Linked DNA regions of Rattus norvegicus. Each later gene encodes a partner of the first gene's protein in a complex. Links are inferred from orthologs where the notes say so. Each region holds a gene or a part of one and is shown in the gene's direction. Other genes may lie near its edges.

Region 1 (3,814 bases):
TGCATGAATTCAGGTGTACACGTGTACATGTGCATATGGAGGCATGAGGTTGATGGAGGCTGTCCTTCTTGATCACTCTTTCACCTTATTCTCTGAGGCAGGGTCTTAGAATCAAACCCAGAGCTCGCTCAGAAGACCGCACCTCTGCCTCGGAAGGCTGCATTTTCCAGGCAGGTCACCACACCCACCTGGCATTTATGTGAGTTCTGGTGCTCTGGGCCTTCATGCTCTGTCCTCATGCTAGCACAGACTCATGTTCCTTTTTGAAAACCTGCTTTAGAAAAGTCAAGGGTGTTGTTGCCATCGGCTGCTTGTGAATGTAAAACCAAATAATCCCTTCCATTTCCTTTCCTGTAGGGGGAAGAGATTTCTCAGACATCGAAAGTAAATTTGCCCTAAGGACCCCTGAAGACACAGCTGAGGACACTTGTCATCTGATTCCTGGATTAGCAGACTCTGTGTCTAACTGCCACTTCAACCACAGCAGCAAAACCTTTGTGGTGATCCATGGATGGACGGTAAGAGTGGTTCTGGAGCAAAGGGTGATCAATGAGACCCCAGCTGTTGGAAAGCCACCATCTGTATTTGTCTGCTCTCTGACAGCTTCCTTCTAAACTTGAATAGAGGCGATCTTGGTTCATGGTAGCCCCTATAGTCCCAAATTCAATAGTCCTTCCCCTAGCTGGTGCCCACCTTTGTCTGCTACCCTTGGATCATTCATGGAGGTAGAAGAAGAATGTTCCACTCAACACTAGATAAGGATGTGTTACTGTTTCAGCAAGCCAGTGGAAGCCTGGCATGATCCTGATACACACAGGATGAGCTGCCCCAGAACCAGGAAAAGATTTGTTTGTTCATTCGTTCATTCATTCATTCACTCATTCGTTCATTCGTTCATTCATTCGTTCATTCATTCATTCACTCATTCGTTCATTTGTTCATTCATTCGTTCATTCGTTCATTCATTCGTTCATTCATTCATTCGTTCATTCATTCATTCGTTCATTCATTCATTCATTCGTTCATTCATTCATGCATTCATTCGTTCGTTCATTCATTCGTTCATTCATTCATTCGTTCGTTCATTCATTCATGCATGCATTCATTCTTGCATTCATGCAATCTTGCATTTGTTCACCAAAGGCTCTTTCCTAAAGTCATCTGTGAGAGTAAGAGGAGGCCAAAAGAGCTGCTCAGGTGCTTCTTGGCTGTTCTCCAGCCCTGTGATGTGATCATTTGTGCTCTCTAGGCCTCAGCCTACTGACGTAGGGTAAAACAAGGGGCTTCATATAGACTTCACTAAGGCGCCCCTGCTTCCGATGTGCCCCAGCTACAAACTTAAGGGAGCTTATCAGAGAACTGTCATGGAAGAAGGCTGAAGAACGTTCTTAGGAAGGTAGCTCAGGCTATAAAGTGTTTGTCTTGAAAGGCACAGGACCTGAGTTCTATTCCAGCACTTAAAAAATAAATAATTAAAAAGCAGGGCACAGGGGCATAGCCTTATAATCCCAGGGAGGCGCAGATGGATCTGTGGAGCTCACGGACAAGTCAACCTAGCTTCTTGGCCAATTTCTCATCAAGAGTCCCATCTCCAAAAGCAAGGTGGACAGCTCCTGAGGAACAATACATCAGGCTGTCCCACATGGACCCACCCAGAGACACGCACACACATAAAAAGGAGAGGAACAGAAATACAAGCTGTGGTTAAAGCTACTTGTTTAAAATATTCACAAATAGCCCCTCCCAAGTATGCCAAAGAGTTGCTTTCCATGGTCCTGTTCTGCGAGTATTTCAATTAACTTTTACGATTTTCAATTCCTAGTGAGCAGGTTGCATTATACATTAAAAATAATTTATATAAAATAGATGGTTAAAGATGCATCGTCTTCCTATTCAGAGGCAACTCTTGAACGCTATAGCTATATATCAAATTCCAATGAGAAGAATTAGGTAAAAACAATATACACCCAATACAGATATCTCTTCCCACACACTGAAGTGGTTTTGTTATTGTAATCATTTATAATCTCTACGGATATGTTGACAGCAGGATCCATACAGATGCTTCTGTTTTTAAGATATCATTTACTAGACTGAACCTAGTATGGTATACAGCATATGATGAAAGTCTAACTCCTAACATAACAAAAACTGTGAGTTATGTTATATATCTTTATATTTGAAGTGTTTGGAGACAGTTTCAATGTACATAGTATGGCCCTTCCCAAGAAGTTTAAGCTCACTTACGCATGGGAAGCAACCGCAAGTCTCAACTCTCACACATCTCAGTCCGACCCCTGAAAGAATTTGGAGCTTTAGAAAGTTGCAGAGGGGCTGGGAGACTTTCCTTCTCTTGTGAAGATCTCATGACTAATGCAGTGTCTAGCATGGTGCCAGATGCAGCTCCTGGTCCTACTGCCTCACAAAATGCACCTGTGCTCTTCAGGTCACAGATGGTGGTGTTTTGAGTGCTAGCCTCAGGCGAGGTTGCTGATCAGGCCAGCTGTGTTTCCTTACCACACGACTTGCCTTGTCTGGAATCGAATACAGCCAGCTGATCCTGGCTTATCTGAGCAAACGCTGGCTGGGTTCAGTCAAAACACCTGCTACAGGCAGCAGAGTGGGTTCTGGTTCAGAAAGCTTGTCTGATACAAGCTTGTACGTAGAGAAAGCTAGAAAACAAGACCTTTTTTGAGTAGAGGACAGTGTGTGGCCTCCTCAACTCCTTGTTTCTTTCAACTTTATTTCATGTTGAATAAGAAAAAGGGTTGGATGAGTTGCTACTGAGTTAATTCAAGTACCCAAAAGTGTAGGTAAGTTGGTCACCTGCCCTTTGCCAGACGGCCTAACTTGGAAACATTGATATAGAAAAAGGTACAGCAGAACCTAGAACAAACAGCTTATCAGAGATAAGCTTCCAGGTCACCCAAGGGCATAGACTCAGGGAAGTCAGGACACTCTTCTGTCAGGTCAGGAGAGCTGCCCACTCCCACTGGAGCTTTGCACTAGCTGGGTTTCACTGGGGGTGGGAGTCAGGGCAGTTAACACTATGTTCTGGAGAAATGACACCGTCTTCTGATCTTCTATAGGAGCTGCAAAAGGGAGTCAGTGTGGTGGTCAGGAAGGGAAGAGAATAGGACCAGCTGTCCAGAATGGACAGTCTGCATGTGTTCAGTTCGTTCCTTCAAAGACATGCTCTCAACCCCAACTTGAAGTATCCTGGCTGAGACGTGTTCAAAGAGGCTTACCTGGGTTTTTGGTGGACTGACATCAGCTGCATATTATTTCTTCTTTGCTTTCTCTCCATGCTGAAAATAGTTGCAGAGCTGACCCAGCAGGAGATCAGAACCAGACTGGTCACAAGTGGGAATGTATGTGGGAGCTTCGAGCTGTTCTTTCTGTTACAGGTGTCCCAGGAAGGCTGACGTTAGTTTACAGAACTGATTAATAGGAGAGGTATAACCACAATCCGTATCTCTCGAACTGGCCTTGCCCCAGCACAGGGCACAGAAACTAGGTGAAAAGTTGTCTAGTGTAGGGAGTGACGTGAAGTTCATGTTTGGGTTTTTTAGTCTAATAAAGGCATAAACAATAAAGCAGGAGTCTAAAAGAACTCATCATTTAAGTGTAAAACTCCAGATGGAGTCAGTAGATTTGGGTATCCAAGGGTCCCTTTCCTCTGTTGGTTTTTGTAGGTCTTAATAAAAAGCACATTTGCCAAAGTGTTCTAAGTTCAACAAACAATTGGTAGCCTTTACTGCGGCTGCAAAGTGACCTGACCTTAACATCCTTAATAAATAGTTTGCAAGTGCAA
Region 2 (3,914 bases), on another chromosome or scaffold:
TAGGGGACAAAAGAGATGATGCTAACTTGGGAAGAAACCGTGTCTATGAGAACTTAGGGATTGGAGTGGAAGGCAGCAGGAGGCTGGGAAAGTTCCCAAGTGCTAGGAAGGAAGACAGCTCAAGCAGAGTCAAGGAGGCCCAGCATCCTCATGGCTCAGGCATCAGCCCAGAAAGGGACCACCTATGCCATGGCATCAGCCCAGAAAGGAACCACCTATGCTATGCATGCGCGCACGCGCGCGCGCGCGCGCACACACACACACACACACACACACACACACACACACACACAAGACAGGCAGACTTCCCAGGACTTGCCAGTGACTCTGACTCCTGTCCTGAGTCCTGCGCTTCTCTCCATAGTTCATGGACTCTCTCCATACTTCAGGCGAGGGAACATGACTCTTCAGTACCTAGCTTGTCCATCTGCAAAGTTCCCCAAAGCTTGAAGGTCTGCTATACCCTGGGAGAGACCCAAGGAGTCCAAGGGCTCACACAGTATACACTGGCAGAGACAGTGACTGGGGTTTGCCAGACAGAAGTCAGTCCCAGAAGGCTCTCTGCCTCTAAGTCAACACCCACCTAGGTGTAGAGGCCCAGGGACGAGGAGACCTACATTCTGTAGGTTTATCAAGGGCAGGAGTACCCCGGAAAGGTCAGAGGCTTCAATATCAGGAGGCAGACATCCAGGAAAGTGTGAGCAGTAGGGAGGCCTCTGGGGAGGTAACTCATAAAGAGACTGAAGGGAAAGGGGGTTACGAAGGGAGCAACCTAAGGAAGAGGAGGCCAGGTCAGCGGGAGCCTGGTTGAGCAAAATCACAGACAAGAGGTGAAGAGAATGGTTCTTGAATCCACAGCTGGATAGACCATGCTCTTTTCTAAATACCTTGCAGAATGACTCCACTTGGGTGGAAGGTGCCTGGCCTGTGAACCTCAAATAGAGTCCTGAGCCCTTATGGTTGTACAGCCAGGGTCCCTAGAGGTTTGAGATAGATGCTGATGCAGCCTAGAACCAGGCGCACATCCAGCATGACAATGCTGAGGCCTGGAGGGATACGGAGCCAGGACAAGACCAGGTGGCTCCTGAGACCAGCACTCATCTTTTGTAGTCCCCACGCTCTCAGAAATGGCTCAGGTGAACAAGACACCCAAGGCCAAGATAATGACTTCCCCTTCCTCTCTATCCTTGGAGGCTCTGGAGGGAAGTGATGTTCCTGGCCTGGTGCCTGTAGCTGGAGACCAATGTGAGGCCCATTGTTTGAGATTAGAGCTGGTGGGGGCCACAGGAAGCCCCTAGTAATGTCCTATGTCCCACTTACCACAGACTCAGAACCCCGAGTGAGGACTGCACCAGTGGACAGAACAGCCTGAGTCAGGATGAAAGCTCTCAGGGCTGTCCTCCTGATCTTGCTACTCAGTGGACAGCCAGGTGCGGGACACCTCAGGAAGGGATGGCCTTACCCACGAGTACCTCCAGGAAGCCCTTGTCCTAGGGACAAGGAATAGGCATGCGGAGTAAGATGGAAGGCCTGGGACTTTTCTCCTCTGCCAGCCGCAGGCTTGACTGCTTCGGCACTGCAGGGGTGGGGGGTGGGGGGAATTCTGTCTCCTACAAAATGGAAAGCGTAGGGCATGTTAGGGGTCAGGACTTGTGCTCAACCCTGAGTGTGACCTCTGCATCTAAGTGGCTAAAGCTTACCGATGTCCTTGTGCCACCAGGGAGCAGCTGGGCACAAGAAGCTGGCGATGTGGACCTGGAGCTAGAGCGCTACAGCTACGATGATGACGGTGATGACGATGATGACGATGATGAAGAAGAGGAAGAGGAGGAGACCAACATGATCCCTGGCAGCAGGGACAGAGGTATCCTAACCCTGCCGGCCGAGGGCCCAGATTCCTCCCACACTTACCTCCCATCCCTGAGGGTAAAGCAAAGCAAGCTGCTAGCTTCCAAGCCAGGAGCCCAGCATGCTCACACAGGCTCTCCCCTCAGGCTGTAACCTTCTCCACCCTCAACTGACATCCAGGTCTGCTCCTCTTGGCCCCACCCCAACCCCTATGTCCCTTAATCCTGGGCCTCACCTTGCCTGAACCCCATGTTTTGTCCTTCCTCTTTTTTTTTTAAGTTTTTTTTATTTATTATATATAAGTACACTGTAGCTGTCTTCAGACACACCAGAAGAGGGCATCAGATCTCATTACAGATGGTTGTGAGCCACCATATGGTTGCTGGGAATTGAACTCAGGACCTCTGGAAGAGCAGTCAGTGCTCTTAACCACTGAACCATCTCTCCAGCCCTTGTCCTTCCTCTTAATGGCTCCAGGCACAGACCCCTCTGGGAGGGCTAAAACTGGCGGTGGGGACAGGGGAACTTGGGCGTGGCCCTGGAGTCTCACTCTCAACCTGAGCTGCCCTACTGCTCACAGCACCGCCTCTACAGTGCTACTTCTGCCAAGTGCTTCACAGCGGGGAGAGCTGCAACGAGACACAGAGCTGCTCCAGCAGCAAGCCCTTCTGTATCACAGTCATCTCCCATGGCAAAACTGGTGAGCATCTGGGGAAGCACACCCAGGGTCGGGGGGGCCGGGGGGGGGGACAGAGAAAAAACCCACACCAAAGCGCATGCTCCGCCCTTACCACCTGTTTCCCACACCCCCCAGACACAGGTGTCCTGACGACCTACTCCATGTGGTGTACTGATACCTGCCAGCCCATCGTGAAGACAGTGGACAGCACCCAAATGACCCAGACCTGTTGCCAGTCCACACTCTGCAATATTCCACCCTGGCAGAGCCCCCAAATCCACAACCCTCTGGGTGGCCGGGCAGACAGCCCCTTGAAGGGTGGGACCAGACATCCTCAAGGTGACAGGTTTAGCCACCCCCAGGTTGTCAAGGTTACTCATCCTCAGAGCGATGGGGCTCACTTGTCTAAGGGTGGCAAGGCTAACCAGCCCCAGGGAAATGGGGCCGGATTCCCTGCAGGCTGGAGCAAATTTGGTAACGTAGTTCTCCTGCTCACCTTCCTCACCAGTCTGTGGGCATCAGGGGCCTAAAGACCCGTCCTCCCCCAACCAGGACCCTTCAGCCTTTCCTCCCTGACAACCAGCTTCAGAGAATAAACTTGAATGTCTTTTGCCATCTAGCCAGTTGCTACTCCTTCGGCCATTCCCTGCCCTCAGTTTCACCCTCAGGCCTCCTTGCCTTCTTCTCTTCTCAGCCCGTGGGTGGGTAACATGTCAGCCTCAGATCTGGCTGTCTGTTGCCTGTGCTGTGGGGACGTTCAGCCTACAGGGGCCCCATCTGCTCAGCTACGCAGAAAAAATAACAAGCCTCAAAGGCTCATTCTCATCTTGAATTTGCCAGCACGAAATTCTCCCCGCTAGAGCCACCATCTAGAGAAAATCAGCCCTTACGTGTGGGGTGCAGGGTGAGCCTCCAGAGACCTGAAGGGAGGAGGTGTTGGAAGGAAACCAAGAGTGTTGCAGGGCTGAAATACAATGGCTGCAGCTAAGGGAGGGAGGGAGGCAGAGAGGGTAAGGAAGGCCTGGCTGCTCAGTAGGGGATTCTTCAGCTGTGGCCTGGCACAGAAATCCATCCTCTTCTGGGTTCTAGAACCTCTCTTCTAGCGTAGGCCTCCAAGAGGATGCTGGGAGCACAAGATGGACCACACATCTGGGAAATGTCACAGAGCCCCAAGAACTCCTTAGGCAGAGAAATAGATGGGACTCCCATCCCTGCCTGGGGGCATGGGTACCTTCTCTGGTGAGGAGAGGCCCCTAGGAGGTAGCATCTCCTTGAGTCATCAGGGAACCTGGCTTCTTGGCAGGAGGGCCCATCTTTGACTGAGTACAGCTCCTTTGGCTGAGCTCTTGGCTTCCGTGACTGCATCAAGCTAGACCTCCACCAGCAG

What was found.
Region 2: the proteins of Lpl (region 1) and Gpihbp1 are in contact, whole or in part, in a crystal structure (PDB 6OAU), measured with the Homo sapiens proteins. The link is inferred for Rattus norvegicus from reciprocal best matches to the Homo sapiens genes LPL and GPIHBP1. Residues at the interface, in NP_000228.1 of Homo sapiens: Tyr367, Gly368, Thr369, Ala371, Glu372, Glu374, Leu403, Met404, Lys406, Lys430, Lys440, Ile443, Cys445, Ser446, Arg447, Glu448, Val463, Lys464, Cys465, His466, Asp467, Ser469; in NP_835466.2 of Homo sapiens: Cys68, Lys69, Ser70, Leu92, Ala94, His95, Gly96, Asn97, Thr98, Glu99, Ser100, Leu103, Thr104, Thr105, Ser107, Trp109, Cys110, Thr111, Asp112, Ile117, Lys119, Val121, Glu122, Thr124, Val126, Met128.

What each region holds. Positions count from the first base shown.
Region 1 is NC_086034.1:25,610,471-25,614,284, reverse strand, and holds part of Lpl (lipoprotein lipase precursor), read left to right. Parts: intron 1-357; coding exon 358-518; intron 519-3,814. UniProt on the Homo sapiens protein: Key enzyme in triglyceride metabolism.
Region 2 is NC_086025.1:109,165,061-109,168,974, forward strand, and holds the start of Gpihbp1 (glycosylphosphatidylinositol-anchored high density lipoprotein-binding protein 1 precursor), read left to right. Parts: upstream 1-1,340; 5' UTR 1,341-1,378; coding exon 1,379-1,430; intron 1,431-1,720; coding exon 1,721-1,864; intron 1,865-2,428; coding exon 2,429-2,548; intron 2,549-2,662; coding exon 2,663-3,057; coding exon of another isoform or gene 3,058-3,103; 3' UTR 3,104-3,914.